Drosophila melanogaster: one gene and its partners. The gene in region 1 interacts genetically with each later gene. Each region holds a gene or a part of one and is shown in the gene's direction. Other genes may lie near its edges. The genes, in order: dgo, Mlp84B, Akap200 and Vang.

What was found.
Region 2: of dgo (region 1) and Mlp84B, changing one enhances a phenotype caused by changing the other (phenotypic enhancement), as found in Drosophila melanogaster (one study listed by BioGRID).
Region 3: of dgo (region 1) and Akap200, changing one suppresses a phenotype caused by changing the other (phenotypic suppression), as found in Drosophila melanogaster (one study listed by BioGRID).
Region 4: of dgo (region 1) and Vang, changing one enhances a phenotype caused by changing the other (phenotypic enhancement), as found in Drosophila melanogaster (2 studies listed by BioGRID).

What each region holds. Positions count from the first base shown.
Region 1 is NT_033778.4:10,815,506-10,821,777, reverse strand, and holds dgo (diego), read left to right. Parts: upstream 1-1,893; 5' UTR 1,894-2,486; intron 2,487-2,674; 5' UTR 2,675-2,677; coding exon 2,678-2,737; intron 2,738-2,803; coding exon 2,804-3,229; intron 3,230-3,284; coding exon 3,285-5,582; 3' UTR 5,583-5,741; downstream 5,742-6,272. Other genes in the region: Lsm10, read left to right, coding at 168-593; Prosbeta5 (proteasome beta5 subunit), read right to left, coding at 795-1,496, 1,559-1,705.
Region 2 is NT_033777.3:7,112,341-7,119,583, reverse strand, and holds Mlp84B (muscle LIM protein at 84B), read left to right. Parts: upstream 1-1,851; 5' UTR 1,852-1,933; intron 1,934-2,867; exon of another isoform or gene 2,868-2,932; intron 2,933-3,745; 5' UTR 3,746-3,824; coding exon 3,825-5,312; 3' UTR 5,313-6,734; downstream 6,735-7,243. Other genes in the region: Alh (alhambra), read left to right, coding at 1-122, 536-626. UniProt on the Drosophila melanogaster protein: Plays a role in cell differentiation late in myogenesis. Transcription factor Mef2 is essential for expression.
Region 3 is NT_033779.5:8,413,896-8,418,727, forward strand, and holds the start of Akap200 (A kinase anchor protein 200), read left to right. Parts: upstream 1-1,794; 5' UTR 1,795-1,991; intron 1,992-4,832. Other genes in the region: CG13398 (uncharacterized protein), read right to left, coding at 1-984. UniProt on the Drosophila melanogaster protein: Scaffolding protein involved in the regulation of PKA signaling and anchoring to the actin cytoskeleton integrating signals propagated by cAMP, diacylglycerol and calcium.
Region 4 is NT_033778.4:9,101,645-9,107,306, forward strand, and holds Vang (Van gogh), read left to right. Parts: upstream 1-1,593; 5' UTR 1,594-1,931; coding exon 1,932-2,172; intron 2,173-2,239; coding exon 2,240-3,744; coding exon of another isoform or gene 3,745-3,825; 3' UTR 3,826-5,152; downstream 5,153-5,662. Other genes in the region: CG8777 (uncharacterized protein), read left to right, coding at 1-281, 340-771, 832-1,006, 1,066-1,253, 1,313-1,475.

The sequences.
Region 1 (6,272 bases):
CGTCACGCAAACGTGAAAAAGGGAAAAAACCTTTACTTGAAAACTTCCGTAAGTACTTCTCTTAGATGTAGTTCAAAACTAATTAATGAAAATGTCAAATTACTTATGAAGCGAGTTGGCAGCTCCGTGTCCAAGAGCAAACACTTATTTTTAAACATATCGATATAATGCAGCAGTTTAGTGCGCGGGAGAAGTATTTGGTGTCCAACACCTTAAATTGTTGGCCCGTGATGCTGCAGGGTCATTCCGTACTGATCGATCTGCACAACGAGACCTCTGTGGCCGGAATCATCGATGTAGCGGATGGACACATGACCTGCGAGCTCACCCATGCAGTTTTCATCGATCGCAATGGTGGTCAGCACCCCTTTGATCACTTTATGGTGCGGAATCGAATGATACGGCAGATCCACATACCTTCGTACTTGGATGCCGAGCAGGAACTTCGAAGCGCAATGGAACGGGGAGTCCTGCGAAGAAAGCGAGTGGAAACCAAGGGCGGAAAGCGGACATTCAAGCAAAAACGAGCGGAAGTGCGACACAAGGAAACATTGCAAATGATCTCACAGCAAAAAAAGAATAAGGAAACCTAAACTATTAATATATGCGTACTTGTTATATTTACCAAAAATACATTACATACATACAACTACATTTATAGTAATAAACCTATGAAAAGCAAAACAAATTAGCCCAATCAATTATACACAAAACATAGTCTCTAGCACGTTTATTTATTCCAAGAAATTCAAACGTATACAAACTGAATATCTTATATTCCCTTAATCAAAACTCTACTTAGCGGCCTGCTGCTTCAACTGCTCCTGGTACATGTAGTGCAGCTCCATGCAGTCGGTGTTGGAGATGTTTACCCAGCCGTCCTCCTTAATGTGATACACGCGAATGATACCACCGGAGTAGGCATCCCTGAAGGTGGCATGGTAGATGGCGCGACGTCCCAGCTCCTGGGCCTCCTTGTCCTCCAGGTCCCAATGATAGCCAGAGTCCAGGACACCGTAGGCGTACAGCGATCCACTACCAACAGAGAACAAATTGCCAGGCGTGCGAGATCCCTCGGAGTCCACATAGTAGAGGCCTGGACCACGCTTATCGTAACCGGCCAGCATCATGCCCATGCTCAGACCCATTCCCTTGTATTCGTGGGCAATGTTGGCCATTATCTTGCTGGCGGCGGCCACCGAGATGCGTTCCTTGTTTCGAAGCTCGTGAAGGCGGCATTCCTTCGAAAGGACCCTGTCCCAGTAAACGCAATCGGCTGCGCCACCGGCCAAGGTGCCCAGCATGAACTGATTGATCTCCACGATCTTCTTCATCGACTGGGAGCCAATGTACGATCCACCCGTGGCACGGGAATCGACTGCCAGGAGAACGCCGCCCTTGAACTTGAAGCCCAACGTTGTGGTGCCGTGATCGAAGTTGATTTTGACGCCGGTCTTGTCGCCATTGGCCTGGATCTGATTAAGGTTGTGCAGGGGCTGAGGAAATTGTCAAATTTTTTAGTAAATTTCCCAAGAAGATCAGCTAATTAACTACATACGTTCTCGAATGGCGGAGCAGCCAGTGTGTAGGGATTGGCCAGATTGCACATAAGCCCTTTTTGCTCTTCCTCCACATCCGCCGATGACCAGGCATTGGGCCGCATGTACGGAGCATTCGATATCTTGCAGATTTCAGCTAAAGCCATTCTTAAAGCTCCTTAAAAAACAATTGGAAACGTTGAATGCGAAATGCCGATGACAAACAAAATTCGTTGCCTACTTGTAGAGTGACCGTACTTCTGTTGGAGCAATAATGCAGACTATCGGCTTCACCGTTAGCTGTCGCAGGTACGGCAACCCAGCTCGAAACCTGTTGCCAATTTTGCCTGTGATTGGCTTTCTTTTAGTCTCTTTTTAGGCCTGGCTTGAAGCCAAATTAACTCTGGGCGTTCCATCAATCCATCAATGGCCAAATACTGCAAAGTCGGGTACTGAACAATAGTCGAAAGTAAACATGTGTAAATACGTGAGAGTGGCGAATTGCAATGCGTAAATTGCGGTCCAAAGACGGGATTTAAAATTAGTGAAAAGTAAGTCGGGAATCGAGAAAACCTAGGCGCACTTTAAACCTGGTTTTCAGGTCTAGAAATTTACTGTAATAGTGTTGAACATTTAAGAAACCATACATGTTTTATCAATGTGTTATAATGAAAGACATTTAATCTACCCTCAAAAAGGTTGTATTTCAAATTACGAGTCCTTTATTTGATCGCTTTTGGTAACTCCCACTTCTATTTGTAATGACAATTACTACGTGGTACGCCATTACGTGAGGCACACATACATGCGCATACACGGCTAGAAAATGTGCGATCGAAGATCAGATTCATTTGATCCCAGGTCAAGTTAAGCTCTTTCGTCGTCAACAAGGTTATATCAAAGAATACCATCTTTCATATGATTTTCGACATATAAACGATTCTAACGGTAATTACGGTACTTTAAGTAAGATTTTTCATTTATTAAAGACAAAATGTAGTTCTAATATAAATAATTTTTTTAATTTTATCTGGTTTTGATAAAGTGTTACTTAAAAAGTTATAATTGCAACACATCATGATAAATGAATGAAATTATAATTTAACAAATTTGATAAATAATGAATATTTTCGCAGACAATGCAGCATGGATCCTCCCGCATTCCGAAACAGGAAGCTCTCCCGAATGCGATATCCGGGGTAAGTAAGGGCACTTGCCTGAACCAACAAATCTTACACCGATGTAACTTCTTTTTCTGATTTAAGCCCGACTCCAGCAATTGGACTTCGCTGCACGAGGCGGTAGCCGCCGGAGATGATCGCCGGGTGGAGGGTCTCCTGTTCAGCAATGCTGATCGACTGGCCAGGGAATCCGTGCAGGGGAATACCCCGCTCCATGAGGCCGCCAGTCGGGGGTTCAGTCGCTGCGTGAAATTGATCTGCACGCCCCCCACGCCACCCGCTTCCTCGGGGGTGGGAAAAGCAGCAAAGGGACAGAAGGACAAAGACAAGGATAAGAACAAGGGCAGAGTGAAGGTGGCCCACCAGACCATCGAAGCCCTACACAATAGCGCCCTGGGTATTGCCAACAACGAAGGGTTGTCCGCCCTGCACTTGGCCGCTCAAAATGGTCACAATCAGAGCTCTAGGGAGCTACTGCTGGCCGGCGCCGATCCCGATGTCCGGAATAATGTAAGTGTTGGATCATATCAGTGATAACCATGTTTAACATGTTTAACAATTTCAGTATGGAGATACTCCGCTGCACACCGCCTGCAGATATGGACATGCAGGAGTCTCCCGGATCCTGCTCTCCGCCCTTTGCGATCCGAATAAAACAAATCTGAACGGCGACACCGCTTTGCACATCACCTGTGCCATGGGTCGCAGGAAGCTGACAAGGATTCTCCTAGAGGCAGATGCTCGGCTGGGCATTAAAAACGCACAAGGCGACTGCCCCATGCACATAGCGATCAGGAAGAACTACCGTGAAATCATCGAGATCCTGAACACGCCGAAGAAGATACGGAATCGCAAGGAGAAACCCAAGGAGGGCGGCAGCAGATCGGACAAGGACAGAGATCGTGAAAGGGATGTGGTGGACAAGGGTATCAACTGGTCACCCTATGGCTGTCACTACTTTCCCGATCCGCGTGCCTTTCCTTCACCAAAACTGGAGACACTGCCCAAGGAGCCACTTAAGTCGGGGGAGCAATACTTCCTGGATTTGGCTGGTCATATTCACAAGGGTCCGGTCAGCGTGGGCAACACATGCTATTGCGGTCCCTTCTTCCGTCACATTGAAAACAAACTAAATTGCAATCGAAAGAGTTTGAAGAAATACGTTCACAAAACCAAGGAACGTCTAGGTCACAAAGTTCAGGCATTGGCAATCAAGACGAACGATCAGATTGAACAGCTCACAAGAACGATGATCGAGGACAGATTGCGATGCGAGAGCAAGAGGCAGCACCTCAGTGAGTTCCTGCGACGAGGTGAACCTATGCGGTCCACCTTCGATCAGCAGAACAAGAGCTCAAGGATCGAAAGAACAATGTCCAGGTGCCGCAGTCTAGAGCTCTTGGAAAACAACCACGAAGGTGGTAGGCTCACCAACTCACGGAGTGTAGATGTCCTGGAAGATCAGGCAGTGGAGGCTATAGTACACCGATCAGCGGAGGTCCAGGTGGATAGCGACAGCGATGACGATTCCAATGAAGCTCGGGATGAAGAAGAGGCAGAAGTGGGTGACAAGGACCAGGTGCAAGAAGAGGCGGAACCAGAGGAGCACTCGAAGCTAGATGAACTTAAGCTAGATTTCCTAAAAGTCTCCGAAAGACTGGGAGTGCTTTTAGAGAAAACCACCCTGATCATGGAAAGGGACAGCGAACAGGAGAGCAAGCGCCAGCTTTCTTCCTTATCGCCACCTTATAATCCCCATCCAAGGGCGGAGTCTGCCCAACTTCGAGAAGATAAAGAGAGTGTTAATAGTCCCAATTTCGACGAGTACGCCAACGTGATACGACGCTATCCGAACTCCAGTGAGACCTCAAATCCCTCCCAGAACTCCAACAGCTGGGACTGGGAGGCATCACCCACGGGCAGCAATCCCCACCCGGATTACAATAAGTACTACCAGCGCATTGGGAGAGGAGAGAACATGCTGAACTCGGTGATCAAGGCGCTTCGAAAAGATGCCTCCTTCGCGGATCTGGGCAAAGAGGAGACGGCTGTCAATGAAACTGCCGAGGGAATGGGAGGCGACAAGCTGCTCTACAAGGAGCAAGCGAGCGAGGCGGCAGGTATCTCCAATCTGATGAAACGGCAGCCTCTTTGCTTGGAAGACAACTATCCCGTCATGTCGAATTTATTTTACTCCAATCCCATCATGGAGTACGCCGAGGAAACAGAAGTGCGTCAAAATGGCAATGAAAGTATGAGTAAGGTGGAGATTCGGAACAGTGAAATCAAGTGCCTAAAGAAGCCGAACGCTGGTCAGGTGAGGGATATGGTGGCCCAACTGCAAAACACCATTGACTCCAATCGACAGGACTCCCAGACGGCACATGTGATCGCCGCAAGATCACACTCCCGCTTGAACAATAACTTCCATCACTTGGAGGGCACCTCTTCGAACCCTTCGCCCACGTATAGTATTCCCCACCGGAGTAGCGCCCAGTTTGGGCTGCCCGAGAGACACATACCCAAAGATGCTTACTTCCATGAACTGCCCCACCGTCCACCGATTCCGCAAACTCCGCAGAGAAGGCTGCACTCCGGCTACGTACCAAATGCGAGTCTCTATCGCAGTGAAGATCTTTACGTGGGAAGGATTCCACATCCAAATGCTCCACCAAGACAAGTGGACTACGTGGATGCGGTAGCCTATAGGCCTCTGCAGTCCCCCACCTTTCAGGCCATTGTGCCGCCCCATGTTAATCAAAGGCCAAGGAACTGGCCTCATCCCAATCTTCCATCCAATGAAATCGATCTGGACGAGCTGTCTGCCGTTGGCCTCTACAACAATGTCTCGAGTCTAGTTTGAGTTCGGTAATCCCACAGCTGTTCCCATTGTACATAGCTAATCCCTACATATTTATCTTAATTGTAATCAAGTTTTAAACTACAAAGAAAAGTTAACTTATTTTCAACTGATGCATCTAATCTGGAGGGTCTAAAATATATAAATATAATACAAAGATATATGTACAATAATTTTGTTGTTTTTTGTTGAGGAGTTTTGGGTCTGAGTGTTTTCATATTCTGCGTAATTTATGAGAATATCGTGTACTTAATTATTTGGTTATTCCACTTTTGACCCCAAAAATACCCAAAATATTAAAAACGTTCCAACCTGCTCGCTTGTAAATCAAACGCAACCGAATGTTTTCGATCAAAATATATTTTTCTTTAAAAATGTTTAATAATAGTATTTATGCATGTGTAAATATCAGAATGTCAAGTACATATATTTATTGATAACAGATCATTTTGGTGTTTTGATAGACATGCGGCTTATGAACTCTGTATAATTGTGTAAACGAAATCAACCAGGAAATCATCTCAATAATCGAGCTCCGATGTTTGGTGGGAATTCAAAAAAACCAAATCCCCACCGCTGACAAAAGTAAACAAGTAAATTGGGCAACATTTTGATATCGTTCACCAATATGTCTGCGGTATTGTTAGTACAATTTTAGCAAGTGCCTAATGATGATTTCTCGATGTCTTCGTA
Region 2 (7,243 bases), on another chromosome or scaffold:
ACATCTACGAGCACTTCCTCAGGCAGCTCCTCTAACTCGTCATCGAAAAAACGAAAAGCGGATTCTGCTAAGTCCACTAGCAGTATTTCCACCTCTGGCTCCGCTCTGGAGGATAACAATAGGTGGGGAACGAGAAACGCAAAGAAAAGGTCTTTTACAATTTACATTTTTCAAAATTTGGTAGTTACTTAGTTTACGCCTGATTTTAAAGAAACAAATGGGACTGTGTTGCACATCTATGATTTGCAAAATTGTTAATTTATCGAACACCCGGTGTAGACAACTCTTTTATTTTGTTATTCTAAATAAATTGTAATAATTAGAACATAATGTATATTAAACAGTGCCCAATGTTACTGAGAAACCAGACTTTTTAAATATGTTTTTGTAATTTCATTGAAAAAGGCAACTTTTGGAATCCGTTTCGTTTATTAGAGAATATACTAATACTAAAATAACCCCGTATAAGACCTTTTTCTACTGAAACAATGTATAGAAAAAATCACACTAATATATTTTTCGGTTGTTTCTGTAGCTTAATATCCCGCTATGATATCAAAGATGTTCAAGTTGCACTGACGCCTCTAACAGATTTTGAGAAGGAAATCGAGAAGAGCTCCAAGAGGGTAAGTTGATTTTTTCTTTGTTTATCTTTTAGCATACTATTAATAGAATGATAAACAACTCAGTTATCGTTCCGAAATATTGAGTTAATATAAGCTTTTTTACTTTTAAGGAAACTTGTTTCGGATCTCTTGAGTGATTTTTGCGAAACATTCTCTTAAAGTGTTTTCTCTCTTTTTGGATACAATGTTGCTATATTAATGATGGTTCCCATTATCTTTTACACTTGTATACAACTTGTCATTTAGTTTTTCTCTGATCAAACCTAAAGAGTGGGACAGAGAGTACTACTATATTCGTTTCACTCGCCAAAAGTTTTGAACGCAGGCGCCTTGCCAATTTTTGTATCATACTTATAAGTGGAAATGCAATTGCAAATGCATGTTAAAAATGTTTTGAGAAATTCTGCCGAAGGTGCGCGTTAATTATACAAAAGGTGTTGCCCACCCGTTCTTGTCTTTAAGAAATTCCGTGTTTTTCAATGCTACCCCTTGAACTTCGGAATTTTCGATCGATCCATTTTTTAAAATGGTGTGTGTTTCGATCGAAATACTGTAATAAATCAAATATTAAATTAGTTTGTTATAAATTTGAGAAACTTACTACTACTACTTTGATTTCAAAACTAAAATAATCGGTAAAATCATACCATTAGAACTAATATCAAAATGAAATCATTCTTAGTAATGATATTAAGAGGTATTTTCTGGCCGAGTTGGCCCCCGCCATGTCTGGTTCTATTTTGCCGATCTGATTGATGCTCAATGATGTACCCATGCCCCATTAATTTCCTTTTGAACCAAAAATGCATGGCAAAATATCGAATTTTAATTAAATGCAAATGCGCATGTTAATTTATTGATGTTGAAGTGCCAATGTTCCGAAAGGCAGGCAGGCAGTGGCTTTGAACAAGACAGTTGAACCATGTTGTTGGTCCAATAAAATACCAACATCATCTTTTTCGCCTTGTCATGAGCACGATCACCTGGAATATTCTGCTATAAAATGACCGTATATACAATTTATGAAAGCACATTTTTCTTGTATACTAGCATATTGTATATGTGAGAGCAGATATTTTGTGATTTGTTGGGATTCTTGTTCGGATGGCTAATGTATTTATTGTTGGGGCTATATAGTCATCCCTATCATTTTCTCTGGCGACAAAGTTGCCTTCGTGCCGTGTGCAGACAAAGACTGAAAGCGCTTGACAAATTTTTCAGCGCGATCAGTCGAAAATCGTTGTTAATCGAAGCTAAACTAAAATTAAGGATATTTCTCTTGCGAACCTTTTTATTACGAACGAAAAGTAAATATCAGTTTTTGTCAATGGAAAACGAAAACCAAAACCAAAACCAATCACGCATAACCCAGTAAATTCCAATATTTTGTGTTGTGCTTGTCTAAAAAATATCGGTTCAAGCTCTGCTACAAACCAAACGCGAAGCGATGAAAATACAGTTTTGTCAAGCGATCGTTTAAATTTAGAACTTGTGCGTAATTTGGACCATAATTTGACCCACAAATGAGAGGAGGAATGTATGGCTCCACACAGGAAGCATTTTTCCCACACACTATTATTAATAGATTCCGTTTTTTCGAGTGTGAAAAAACTTTACGGAAACTGTCTCACTCAATAAAATGAGAACTATTTGCGAGGAGTTTTTTTTTCAATCGAGTTTTATTCAAGTACAAATCGATCATCTTTTCATCAGATCAAATCGAATAGTCACTATCCTTGAATAGAGAAAAATTAAAGATACAGTCCTTACTCGACGTAAAAAACACGTACATTTTGATGAGTTTTATAATCTTATTGCATGCAAAAAGTATTATATTTAGTCGGGAATATAAACAAACTCCCAGATGCCTGAGGTTTCCAATGATATGCAACTTTTCGATCATCTTTGATAATCTCCCACTGGGATAAATGTGCATATAATATACACAAAAGTTAGCAAACATCCAAGAATGAGATACGGTCAAGAAAAAACGAGTGAAGGATATGGAATAAAAAACTTTTTCGAAGAATCGAAAAAGTTTAAAAACCGCAGATGCATACCAATATGTTTCCATCCCACTCTCTGGCGTTATTTGATGAAAACTGAAATAAAACGAAGGAAAACTGCTCCGTGTTGCCGCATCTTAAGTTTCTCAACTCGGTGTGCTGAGCAGGAAAACTCAGTGGCAGCGGCGAAAAGTCGACCGCGTTGCCGTGCCGTGTGCACTCACAATTATATAGACTAGTTTGCTTTGAGCAATCTTCCAGTTCAGTACTCGGCGCTTCCGTGTGTGGTTTTAGTGCGTTGTAGGTTCCGTTCTATCTTGGCTATAATACACTCACACCCAACGGTTGGATATCGCCAGCTCTTAACCGATTTTTTTGCACGCAGCAAAAGACCATTGCAAAGCACCTGACTAATCCATCGCAACCGCTAGATAACCAGATTACCGGCCAGGGACGATGCTCATCTGATGGTGGTGCTTTAGCTCTGACTCAGTTTTAGAACACCCAGATATGTACATATATATATCTGCCACAGTTATTTTTTGTGTGTGCTTTTCCCAAATCTATCTACCTGTCTGCGTTATTTTTATACAACATTTTCTGTATAGATAGATACACATTTATTGCTCATGTTTTTCTCTGTGTTCTGTGATTTGAAAAATTCCTCCTTTATTTTTTGTTGTCATGAGAAAGATGTTATTTTCTGATCATTAACATAGGAATCTTCAATATGAATTACGTATACATACGTCCGGTTGGGTAATTTTCTGGCACGGGCGATGACGTCTCGACTGACAGATAAGAATCTTGATAGATGATCTACATAATGCAAATTGAGGAGAAATTCGCGACTGTCAAGTTGAATTTGTAATAGTTCATTGTAAACTTAAGATAAAACAAGCGTCTTAATCGTCCAAATAGGTTAACATGTAGATTAGCTTGAATTAACTAGTTGGGCTTAGAATAATTTGGAAACCATTTAACATACAAAAATGACAGATGCTTACCTCATCGCTTTCATCGCCACCAAAGCTTCCACTCTGCTGCATTTCCCAGCAGGACTTACGCCACGATCCCATCGACTCTATGTGTTCTTCTATTTTGCTATTTCAGATAATAAACTTAATAAGTAAAGTAATTGTACTCGCGTAGATCATTTTGATAGCGTTAAAAAAACCGAAACACAGACAGAATGCCTTCCTTCCAACCGATCGAGGCCCCCAAGTGTCCGCGCTGCGGCAAGAGTGTCTACGCTGCCGAAGAGCGTCTGGCTGGCGGCTATGTATTCCACAAGAACTGCTTCAAGTGCGGAATGTGCAACAAATCCCTGGACTCCACCAACTGCACAGAGCACGAGCGCGAGCTCTACTGCAAGACGTGCCACGGTCGCAAGTTCGGGCCGAAAGGTTACGGCTTCGGCACTGGAGCTGGCACCCTCTCCATGGACAACGGGTCACAGTTCCTGCGCGAGAACGGCGATGTGCCGTCCGTAAGGAATGGAGCCCGCCTGGAACCCAGGGCTATTGCTCGTGCCCCCGAAGGTGAGGGCTGTCCTCGTTGCGGTGGCTATGTGTACGCCGCCGAACAGATGTTAGCCCGCGGTCGCAGCTGGCACAAGGAGTGCTTCAAGTGCGGTACCTGCAAGAAGGGTCTGGACTCGATCCTGTGCTGCGAGGCTCCGGACAAGAACATCTACTGCAAGGGCTGCTATGCCAAGAAGTTTGGACCCAAGGGCTATGGTTATGGCCAGGGCGGTGGTGCTCTCCAGTCCGACTGCTATGCTCACGACGACGGAGCACCGCAAATCCGTGCCGCCATTGATGTGGACAAGATCCAGGCCCGTCCGGGTGAGGGTTGCCCACGTTGCGGCGGTGTGGTCTACGCAGCGGAGCAGAAGCTTTCCAAGGGTCGGGAGTGGCACAAGAAGTGCTTCAACTGCAAGGATTGCCACAAGACTCTGGACTCGATCAATGCCAGTGATGGTCCCGATCGTGATGTGTACTGCCGCACCTGCTACGGCAAGAAGTGGGGACCACATGGCTATGGATTCGCATGCGGCTCTGGTTTCCTGCAGACCGATGGCTTGACCGAGGATCAGATCAGCGCCAACAGGCCCTTCTATAACCCGGACACCACGTCAATTAAGGCCCGTGACGGCGAAGGCTGTCCCCGGTGCGGAGGAGCCGTATTCGCCGCCGAGCAACAGCTGTCCAAGGGCAAGGTGTGGCACAAGAAGTGCTACAACTGCGCCGACTGCCACCGGCCATTGGACTCGGTCCTGGCCTGCGATGGACCCGATGGCGACATCCACTGCCGCGCCTGCTACGGCAAGCTCTTCGGCCCCAAGGGCTTTGGTTACGGCCACGCCCCCACTCTAGTGTCAACCAGTGGCGAGAGCACCATCCAGTTCCCAGATGGCCGTCCTCTGGCCGGACCCAAGACTTCGGGCGGCTGCCCGCGTTGCGGTTTCGCCGTGTTCGCCGCCGAGCAGATGATCAGCAAGACCAGGATCTGGCACAAGAGGTGCTTCTACTGCTCGGATTGCCGCAAATCGCTGGACTCGACCAACCTGAACGATGGACCCGACGGCGATATCTACTGCCGAGCCTGCTACGGCCGCAATTTTGGACCCAAGGGAGTGGGCTACGGTCTGGGCGCGGGCGCTTTGACAACGTTCTAAACGAGCCTATTTTATGTATATCCAATCGAAACCCACATCCATGTCTGTGAACCGTTCCGATGCATCTGTCTAATGACCAATCTGTTTTAACTAACTATCCCTGAAATTAGCTAACTTAGTCTTCGTTTTGCTTCCAACGATTTTTGATCAACGATGCACTGAATGCAATTCAATTTTCTTTAGGTTATGTGAGATTAAGTTTAATATGAAAACAAGAAAAAAAGAATAAATGCCAAAAACATAAAACTTACGACTCAAAGCGAAACTAACCATCGAACACAGACTAACGAACTAAACGACATTGACCACATCGAGAAAAGCAAAACTTTCTGCAGGTGAAACTGCTGCGAGCCAAAGTCGTTATTACTTTTTTGTATCTTAAACTATTTATTTTCGAAGACCAGCCAAGTATGTCTTATGCTCCAAATCGAATTACCCAAAAGCATACTTTGTGCAAATGGAAAAATTTTATACACATAAATATACTCTTACGACGAACAATGATGAAAGATATGATGTTGTATATTTAGCTGATTTAGTTCTTACGATATACTTATGAAATCTGATTATTTATAATGATGTTTGAATGATTTCTCACCCATCTAATCTCTTGCATTCTGTTTGGGATGCCAGCCATGGCAGATATAAAATATTTATTTATATATATATACATCAGCGTACATGTTCTGCATACACACACACACACACATAACATCCAATAATATATGCCCCAGTGGGTTCCATGAAAACAAAATGATTTCGAAATGGTTTTCGTAGTTTTAATTGATTTAATTGGGTGTGCATACCTGAGATTTCTGCATCTAAATGGTTGGTTGGCAATCTGATTGGAATGACCGGTGGGTGGTTGGGTTGAGTTCAATTCCGTTTGTTTCGGGATCGTTCGGTTCGGATTGAGCCAGCTCATCTGGTCTATATATAGCTTGTTCGGCCGACAAACATCGTGAAAAATAATTGCTCAACATACGCACAAAGAACGTTCCCTACATATACGTACAGGAATAAATCCTTGGTTGTGTGTGTGTGTGGCCTCTCGAGAAAAACATCGAAATGTTCCATAACCGTACTGAAATGGTTTTCTAAATATAAATATGATGCCAATATGCCTCACACAGCTGACCCGAAAGCTTTTCACAGCACTCAAAACTCTCACTCAAGAGAAGAACTTAAGAGATTGTATTTATTCGCATATATACTTGTGAGGAATCCCTAGTTATATTATAATAATTATAACACGTGCCTGCTGAGAATGTTGTGTAATAAATGCTTTACTCACCCACCCACCTAGAGCAAAGTTCTTATTGCTAATGCACTTTTAGGATCACCCCCCACCCGAAATAACCCCTTGGGAACAAAATTTTAATGATTCCGTCCCACGCCCACTTGCGCGCATTATTCACATTTCTATTCATTTTATTCGACATCCTATAGGTATGGTATGGTTTTATGCTCCGTGACGTTGACCACGAAAATACGTTGCCAAGGGGTTGGCCAAACTAAATAAATTATTTTTTGTTTTAATATAATTTTTTTTTGTTTCAGACACAAATATCAAATAAATCGCCTTCAGCCAGGTGTGTTTACGTTAGTTTTGGTATCGCATTGGCGAGAATATTTATAGACTTACCGAGTCAGCGTCTATTTTCGAGTGATTTTGGTTTTGAAATTGTTTCGCATATGACACACGGCACTTCAAAAACACCCGAATTGACGAGCCACAACAGTGAGAATATTTTTTGCGGACTGCGCCGCTGATGTTGATCTCTAAATATACTTGGAGATGTATTCTACTCGTATTCGATATGGCTTTTCTAGTATGTTATTAATGTTCAATTTCTGGCTTTGAATGGCGCGAATAGATTTATGCCTTGCTGAAGTCCGCGACTATTTGTATAACGGATCGAACATGATAA
Region 3 (4,832 bases), on another chromosome or scaffold:
TCCATTGATCGCCTTTGATGAACCCGCCGGTCCCACGGGACTTCGCGGCTGATCAAGATCCAGCACTATATAGTTTACTCCGCAGCTGCCCGCTAAGCTGGTGGGCGTGGCCGGCTCTTGATTGGAAATTGGTTCCCTCGGCAGCAGAGGGAGCTCCAAGCGATTTACGTTCTCATAGCAGCGCTCATTGTTCAGATCAAAGATCAGAGCTTCCACATTGGCGTACATGTGCACAGCATCGTTGGGACTCAGAACTGGAGCTGGTGCTGGGGCCGATTCCAGAGGTGGCAAGTCCATCGTGCGCCTACGTGATGTCAACCTATTGCCGGAGGGCGGGGTGGAAAGCAAATCCGAGGCGGTGCCTTCCAGACAACAGTCCTGCAAAGCCCGCAATGGCTGATCCAAATAGGCACTGGGTATCAGGACTGGTGATTGCAAATTGGGCGGAGAGTCATCGACTTGCGAATCGTTGGCCTGCAGCGGATACGATGCACTTGTGCTCGAGGGCTCACTGTGGAAGTTGCCCAACTGGCGGCTCATTAGGGGAGCCGGCTCTAGATAGTTATTGCCCTCAGTACGGCCCATATTTACGGACACCGAATGAGCGGAGTTAACCCTTTCTCGTTCGCCCTGCACAAAGGCATCTGTATTCACCGCGTTGATGTAGCGCTGAAACATCGGATACAGCTGCTCGGCATTGTGGACTCGAAACGTGTAGATCCCTGGCCCAGACATACACCTACGTCCTGCTTCGAAGGAGAAGAGATCGTTATTCAACCCATAACGTCGGAGGTGTTGCAGTGCCCAGACAATGGGCTCACAGCCAGGCGACTGGAATATTAGTTCCCGGGGCGTTAGCTCCAGGTAGCCACTCCGGATGATGGGCGTACCCGGGGTGGGTTGCAGGTGAGCCACTCGCACTCGAAACACATTCTCATGACCGCGCAGCTCATTTAACTTGCTGCTGCTGGTGATGCAGCCCATGGTGTTGCACTGAAAGACGGAGTATTATGCATTGAAGGATTATCCACTCCAGTCATGTACAGTGCCTATTGAAATGCACACCTGGACAGGCAAGTCCGCCTGGCTGTTATCGCAGCGGGCATGGAAGAAATCGCAGGCCGATAAGAGCACCACCCACCGCCTCCACCAGCTGAAATCAGCTACCCAGTGGAACTGGAGGCTCTGGGGTGCAGTCGAATTGTGTTGCTGTTATCCTGGTTGACTCCTCCTGCTTTGGTTAACTCCTGATCGACGGGACTGCTGGCTGATTGTTGTTATTTGGCCACGGAAATTCCGTTCTTGTGGTATAAAATTTCTTCTGCGACTTTTCCCCTCGCCCGACAGAACGCAATTGTGAGCAACGGGCATGCTAACTTGATTTTCGCAAAAAGACTTACAAGAAACGCTTTTTAAAAAAGTAAACGGAAAATCAAAGACAAATTACAAGTAATTACACTTAAAGAATGAAAAACTAGTTTAGCCAAGTTTAAGCCAAGGAAATATTAATATTTCAAAATTTATAGAAAAATATTGCAAATGTCAGCTTAATAGAAGTTTTCTCTCGTTTAATAGAATAATCTTGAAGATTTCTTACGTCGTAATTTTTACGTTTCTGCAAATGTTTACTGCAATTAACAAGTAATAAATAGGATTCAGATGTAAACAAATATAATTTATAAAAAAATTTTAAGTTAAGGCATTTTAGTCATCTTAATTGTATGGTTAACCATTTGGCGGAACATCAACTTTGTGGACAGCACTATAACTAGACCCGAAGCCCTAACGCGTTCTAACTGCGAAAACATCCTAACGCGACGTAAATACCAGACCCGAGCGGACATTTTTTATTTGTGGAGCGCGCAACAAGAACGAGAAAAGAAACCGAAACGGAAAGCAGGCAAAAAGAGCTGCTGCCAGTGTAGAATCGCAAAGCAAAGAAAGAAGCAAGTGCGTGTGTTTTTAAACCGAAACCGAGAGAATCGAGCCAGGTAAATTCCACTTTAAGTCATAAGATCAGAACATAAAGGAGTTAATTTAAAAAAATAAATGAAAAAGAAACCAAAGCCAAGCAGGCAGACGGCTTGCGTGTGTGTGTGTGCGTGAGTGGTGCTACTTTTGAAATTCTCTATACCCGCTTTGAATTTCGTGTTTGTTTAAAGGAATTGTGATTGAAAAGGAGACAAAGAGTTATTGACGAAAAGTTTCTAACTGGTTTCAAAAATGGTAACTGTATTTGAGGCACAAGTGTTTGTAAAAGAGACGCCCGCCGACGCTCACACACACAGGCAGGAAAAAGGACGCCATGGAAGGCGGCTTAGTGTGCGTGAACGGTGAAGAATGGGAGAAGCGAAGACTAAAAGAGATATTTAAATGGAGTTTTATGCATTTAAGGAGAACTTTCTTTGTCATTAACCCCGCCCCCGCAAAATACAGCATTCGAATTTCGCCACCTTGGAGTAGTTGCCTTTTTACAAAATTTTTGGGTGTGCCGCCTTCAATGCGTCGGCGTTGCCACCACGTCGGCGTCCGCAGCAGCAGCGCAGGCAGTGACGGCGGCAGAGGCAAACACCATGCCGGTGTGGCTTTGTATCCGTATCCGTCTCGCTCTCTCTCTCTCTCTTTGTCTCTTCGGCTCAATCTAGCGCTCTCTCCTTTTTGTGCCTCGCCTTCCTTCGCCTCGCCCGCTCATCGCTCTGGTCCTTTGTGCCATCGCTTCGCCTTGACTTCTGGTTCATTGTCGTTGTCTCCTCTTTGTTTGCATTGTACGCCTGATTACACTTGCCAACATGTTTCTACCTTCTCAGCCAAACATCCTTGTGCAAGGTGCACGCACATAGCGAGTGCCCACTGTGGCCATTTGATCTTTGTATACGTTTCGATCCCTTTTGCGTCTCGGTTTACTCAGATTATCGATACGAGGAGGATCGTCTTTTTGTTTTTCCTACACTTTTGTTGCGAAAAACTGCGTCGCACTTTCTGCAGCGTCGGTTTGTCAGTTCGTCCGTCCGTCCGTCACTCAGTCGTTCAATCGCTCAATCGCAGACGGGCAGACAGCCACCGCCCTAACTGGCGTCGCCTACATGTCTTTGTGTGTGTGGTGTATGTGCTTGCGTGCCTGGGGTAGTGTGCCTGTGTGCGTGCCTCGCTGCATGTGTGAGTCCTTTACGAATGGAGTGGGTGGGCAGAGGCCGAGGAGGAAGAAGCAGAAGCGCAATCACAAGATTTTCGATTGTCAACTGCAATTTATACTACTGCTAAGAGAATTTTATGATCTACTTGCAACGCTGAATGCTAATGCCTTAAATTTTAGTAGCCTCTGTCAAGGATCTTAAATTCAAGTTCTTGTCACAATCATATTTCTTAAGTATATAATTACTTTTATTGTTAAATATTTGTACTGTACTTAATACGTAAAACGTATTTGACAAGTGAAATTTCATGATTGCTCTACTGAAATCTTTTCTTTGAAAATGAATGCTCTTCTTTGTGTTCTAACCTGACCAAATTTATTTGTCAGTGACCCAATTTAGGCACCAAAACTGTAAATATTTCCGAAAATCTTATCAATTTGCCTGTTGAAAATTTGATTAGGAATGGAGTTTGCATTCTGAATTTTCCCCACTCCCGAAATTTGAGCAAATTGAATTATTTCGCTGCGATTTCAGGTAGCGGTCGCCAACCGAATGTATCTTTGAAATTGGTTTATTGTTAAGGAGGAGGGGAGGGCGCCCCATAGAATTTGTGGCGGGTTTTCCCTTGAAGTCGGCTCGAATTTCGTGTACATATTTGCCAGTCGTTCACTGAGGACGAGCATATACATATAATGCTTTTTGGTGTCGCCTTTATTGGCGAATTTGTCAACGTTTGCTCAAACTCGAGTAAACATTGCATTGCGATACGGTGTGGAGGGACTGGGGGCAAACATGCCGTTTCGTCAAGTGCGATTCGCGGTTAACCAGCAATGCTCGATCGCACAATTGGCCTTAAAGCTGTCGATTAGGGTTTAAATTTAACTGCGAACTATTTGGAAATAAACAGAAATCTTTTCCGGAATTACAATACAGTAAAACTTGATATTCTAAGAAGTTATAGATGGTTCACGTACGGTTATAGAATTTCTTAGTGCAGTAAAGGTGGCAAAGCATGTACGAAAAACATATTTTCGACTATTTACTAACGCATGTAATGTTATTGACAACTGGAAAGATTCCAGGAACATGCCTTTTGTTTATCAACATAGTAATTATATATCAATGCTCGTGCAGCTACTTCCTGGAAATGAGTGTAAGTAAGCATGGTCATTTTGGAAGTAACCCATACGATCTAATGATTCGCAGAACGGAGACACCGGTCTGCCAGGGCACATTTGTGCGCTAAACATATGAAGCTCAAAGTCCGAAGCTCAATTGGGGAGCATGGGTAGCTGCGTATATATGTATGTATATGGGTGTGTGTGTAAGCCAAAGTGTTGAGAGGTCCTTTGTCACCGCTGCCATACATTCGTATATCTACGAAAGCGAGCGAATTTCTCATTTAATATGCAAACATCTGTGTGAAAGATGTTCGAAGGCTGCCGCTGTGATGTGCTGCTGCTGGGGCTGTGTGAGTGGAAAACGTTTGCAGATTGAGCTGATTTTCATTTCACGTTCTCTTCTCGAACAACTCGAGTGATATAGCCCTCGGTTCGACCACTTGAGGCCACTAATTCCGCAGGAATTCGGTATGGTTTCAGGCATACTATCATAATTGCTGGGGGTGCACATTAAAATTTTTTTTTTTTTTGTGTTGTAGGTGTTGTTGTTTTGGGAGGCATTTGGCGTGCCGAATGG
Region 4 (5,662 bases), 1.7 Mb from region 1:
TTGGCCAACGAGGCCTTTACGAGAGCCCAGCAATCAAGTCCCGTGTACGCCAACGCTTGGATTGGACAAGCAATGGTTGCGGAGTTGATTGGCGATCGCGAGGAAGCCTTTGATCTGTTTCGTCACTGCCAGCAGTTCGATTACCATCCGGAGGCGGCGCTTGGATTTGCGCATTGGGTGTGCGAAATGCTGTCGACTCCTGGATCTTTCGACAAGCCGCGCATAAAGCATGCCATCGAACACATGTACGCTGATGTGCTTGCGCTGGATGCCATCAATTGGTAAGTATTATAGTAATGCCCTATCTAAAACCAACTAAAGACTTGCAATACATTTAAGGTATGTGCAAAACGAGGAGACGGATGCGACACCAGCATCGCTGTCGTTCCAGGGATTTCTCTACGCCCGGAAAAACCTGTATCGCCAAGCAATCGAAGCCTTCACTCGGGCGTGTAAGTTGTGCGAACCTGGAGCGGATCGTGACAAGCTCTACACGAATCTGGGATACCTGTACTTAAAAATAGACCAGCCGGAGCAGGCGGCACACGCCCTAAACACGGTTGCACATGCCACATTTAAGCCGATCATTGGCCTGGCCCAGGCATATTATCTAGCCGGTCAGTTGCAGGAATCCTACTCTATTTACAACTCCGTTCTCGGCAACGTGGTTGATCATGGCGATGACAAAGCAGCTACCATCCTCGTGGCTATGGCATCCATGATTTACGACTTTCAGGGCGAAGCGGACACCAAAACCCTACTCTATCAGTGGTTGGTAGCGCAATATTTGTTTTGTTGATTCAACATTTCTAACGTTATAATCACCAAAAGTGTCTTGTTGAAGGAGGTCCCCATTCAGGCGTTGTTTTCAGCCCTTGCCCTAGGTATACTTCATAGAGATAATGCGTTGATCCATACGATACTGACGGAGCTGAATGCGTACGCCTTTAAGAAGGAGTATTGTGCCGACATATCCTATTTAACGGCTCACTACATCCTGATAAATGTTCGTTAAAAGTGGTGAATGTTGTGGTTCTACAAAAGTAATACTATGATTTTGTTTAGGAGGGTGCCCGAAGAGCGTTGTGCTATCTACAGACTCGCATACGAATGTTTCCCAATTCCCGAAGTCTGCGAAGTGTCGTGCTAAAGTTTCTTCTTGATTATTTCTCTGATGACCAATCCTATCGACTGGCTACTTCAAATATGGGTCGAATAACTCTTACTCTGGGACACACTAAGCAACAAAATAGGTAAGACTTGGGAATTTATATACATTGTATTATGATAGACTGAATTTGTTTATATTTAGCATCTTGGCCAGCGAAGAGGCACTGACCACTATATATGCCAGTCAGGCGGTTAGTGCAGTAGACAAAACCTGTTCTATGAAGTTGTTGCAGCGCGCCATACTGCTAAGCCCAACTGACCAGAGAGCCAGACAATTACTTTCCGCTATTATTGCAAATTCATGATATTGTCCAACAAAATAAACTTACTTTAAAATTTAAACTATCAGTTTGGCGGTTGAATTGCCAAACTGATAGTGTTTGAAAACACTAAATGCAATGTGACCGTGCTGCTGATTGTGTTGCGGTGGTCACACTGCGTCGGGGGTGAAGCCAAGTCCACGAAAAAGTGAATAAAAAGCGAAAAATGTGCGAGAAATAGTTAAATAGCGTATGAAATAGCCATGCAAGACACGAATAGTGACAATGTGCCGCAGAATTAGCCGCAGATAAAGCTCTAAATCGCCTATAGGCTATGCACTGCGCCCTGCATACCTGCGTATGAAAAACCTGCTGCCGCCGCAATTACAGTTAGACACTAAAATAGCTGCACGGCCAGGTTGCAAGGTGATTTGGGGCACGTCTCTTCGCGAGCAGGAGATTCGGAATCGGGCATAGCTCTCGCGCGCTAGCCCAATTGCAATGGAAAACGAATCCGTCAAGTCGGAACACAGTGGACGCTCCAGACGCTCGCGGAATCACAACAACAACGGCGGAGGGGGTGGCGGCGGAGGTGGTGGCGGAGGAGGCAGTGTCAACAACGGCTATCACAGGGAGCGGGACCGCTCCAGACATTCCCACCGCAGCACACACTCCTCGAAGTCGGCCAAGGGATTTCAACGTGGCGACATGGCACCGTACCAGACCAGCGTTAATATGACAGGTGAGTTTGTTTAATGGCTCTATCGGTGGAAGGAAACCAATTGACCCATTTATTATTTGGGCACCAGGAGACGGCAGCCACGATGGCCAGGAAGTCATCGAGGTGCAAATCCTTCCGCAGGACGAGAACTGGGGCGAGAATACTACCGCCGTCACGGGGAATACCTCGGAGCAAAGCATCTCAATGGAGGACATAAACAACATGTGGCATCGTGAGAGCGACAAGGGCTTCAGCTTTGCGTGCCGCCGATACGTGGAGTCGAGCTTCTACTTCCTGCTGGGATGCGGAGCGTTTTTTTCGCCAGTGGCAATGGTGGTGATGCCGTATGTGGGCTTCTTTCCGTCGGCCTTCGATCATCCGGAAATAACGCAAACTGTTCGCACCCAGCTGCTGGCCTGCAGTGAGCAGTGCAAGGGCCAACTGGTATCGCTGGCCGCCCGGCTGCTGCTTCTGGCCATCGGCCTGTGGGCAGTGTTCATGCGACGTACATCGGCCACCATGCCACGGATATTCCTATATCGCGCTCTCGTCCTCCTTCTCGTCACCATCTGCACGTTTGCTTACTGGCTCTTCTACATCGTGCAGGTCACAAACGGGGCCAAAATCGTTGTGGAGACGGGCGGCGATGCCGTGGACTACAAGTCACTGGTAGGCTATGCCACCAATTTTGTGGACACTCTTCTATTTATTCACTATGTGGCCGTGGTGTTACTAGAGCTGCGACACCAGCAGCCTTGCTACTACATCAAGATCATTCGCTCCCCGGACGGCGTTTCGCGCTCCTACATGTTGGGTCAGCTGAGCATCCAACGGGCGGCTGTGTGGGTGCTACAGCACTACTACGTGGATTTCCCCATATTTAACCCTTACCTGGAGCGCATCCCAATATCGGTCTCCAAATCGCAGCGAAACAAGATATCAAACAGTTTCAAGTACTACGAAGTGGATGGGGTGAGCAATTCGCAACAGCAAAGCCAGAGTCGAGCAGTTCTAGCAGCCAACGCGCGGCGCCGAGACTCCTCGCATAACGAGCGCTTTTACGAAGAGCACGAGTACGAACGTCGTGTGAAGAAACGGCGTGCCCGTCTTATAACCGCCGCCGAGGAGGCCTTCACCCACATCAAACGCATTCATAACGAACCGGCTCCGGCACTGCCGCTCGATCCGCAGGAGGCTGCCTCGGCGGTTTTTCCCTCGATGGCCAGGGCGCTGCAAAAATACTTACGGGTTACGCGTCAGCAGCCGCGGCATACCTTTGAGAGCATACTGAAACATCTGGCGCACTGCCTAAAGCATGATCTGTCGCCCCGCGCCTTCTTGGAACCCTACTTGACCGAGTCTCCGGTGATGCAGAGCGAGAAGGAGCGACGCTGGGTGCAGTCTTGGTCCCTGATCTGCGACGAGATCGTCTCTCGGCCAATTGGCAACGAATGCACGTTCCAGTTAATTCAGAACGATGTCTCCCTAATGGTAACCGTACACAAGCTGCCGCACTTCAACCTGGCCGAGGAGGTTGTGGATCCCAAAAGCAACAAATTTGTTCTTAAGTTGAACTCCGAAACATCCGTATGACACCACCACAACGCCCCTCCAATCAACACTCCCACTCATAGCAACCAGACGCAATCGTCCTACTTGCATGTGTTTGTCTGATTTTCCCAGCTACTAATTCACATATTCACATATTTTCTTTACTTCAGCCAAATCGATGACGTTCTTGTGAGAACTGCCATCAGGGTAATTGAATTCATTTTTATATATGCCTGAAACACCACAACCAATCAAACCAAGCAATCAAAATTACTTATCAATGAACAAGAGGAGCATTTTTAAATCGATCAAAACCCTGAATTTAAAAAAAAAAAGAAAAAAACATGGAAGTTTAGAAAGGAAAAGTTGTTGTGAGAACAAAATGTCTAGGCAGGCCTCAGCAGCTAAATTTTGATCTTGTAACAAATGATTATTAGATGAGAAGGCAACGTACTTATCAGTGCTAAACTTGAACTTATGACCCGAATATCAAGAAACAATGCTCAAAAGCCCAGTGTATCATCCTAAACCGACGCGAACATATCACACCCTTTGATAAGCAAACATGACTTACAAGTTCCCAAAGTATTAATTATAAGAATGATGGTTTGGCTTGCCGAACCGCGATCTTCAGATATCAACTCTTAAATGCAGCTCTTTTATACACGATTTTTATTTTAGTAAATATGTTTAGTGTAAAGTTGGGCTTACTCTTCGCGGAATATCTAAAATTTTACCCGATATCTGTGAGGCGTGAGCCCGATCGCTAGCCTTAAGAAGGAATGGAGTGAGCCAAGGCAAGCCCATGGAATTTTAGCTAGGACTCGGACTTGCGTCGAAAGTGCATTGGCCACTTTTGACGCGACTTAATAAGATTTTACATACGCACATTTTAAGCCGAAACCGAATGGTCCTAACTCTTCTGCCACAAAGTTGAGAAACGACGAAACAACTATAACTCGAATGCAACTGATGACAAATACATAATATAAGCGAAGACTGCCTGAATATGCATTTTATACACACAAATTGCCAACAGCCACTAGCAGGTGTATGTACTAGCCTGTGCATAGCAACCACATATATACAAAAACTCGTGTATTTTTAGAGACAAAATTATAGTGATAAGGACCCGAATTCGTATTCGAACATGTGTACGTTCCAGTGAACCCAATCTATATATACATACATATATGATATATACCTATTTACAAAACTACTTAGAAACGTTTGCTTGAGGTTTGATTTCATTTTCGTTTTCTAGCTAAATGTCTTCTGTCGAAGCTCTTTTATATTGCAATTATCTAGCAATTACTTAAAGCAATTGGAAAACCAACCTAAGCATACATACCATTTATACATACATTTACTCTCAAACTGTAACTGTTGTAATTGTAACTAGCATAAAAAACAAAATGCGTAAATAAATCAAACCCACTTCTTTAACAGCTTTAAACGAATTGTTCTATCTCGAAGGTGACGCAAATCGTGGAAATGCGCACGTAATTAATTCATTCTTGGGGGTCTTTTGAATGTCTGAAAGTTGCCTTATCAGCTCGGGATTAACAAACAGTTCCTATATTGATTATTGAGCCCAGCAGGTTTACCAAATCGCACTGAAGTATAATGTATGAGTAGATTTAATCGCAATCAATCAAGTTTCAAGTTCTTTGTGATACAAAGACTCGAATGCCTCTCGAATTTCTATGATAAGAGTAATAAGCTCAATTAATTCAAGTGGAGTGAGCACGATGGTCTCATTTCATAAGCTACTTAAATATCAAACTGAGGAAACCCATGATTTGGTGCCTGGTGGTGGATGGTGCGTTCGCTTTTATTTACATTATTTCATAAATACTAGCCAAATGTGAGTGGAATACTAACATATCAGATATCCTTTAAACAATAATAGGCAACAGCTTGCGCTGCTGTTGTTTTTTGGCTTGTGCGTCGTCAGTGC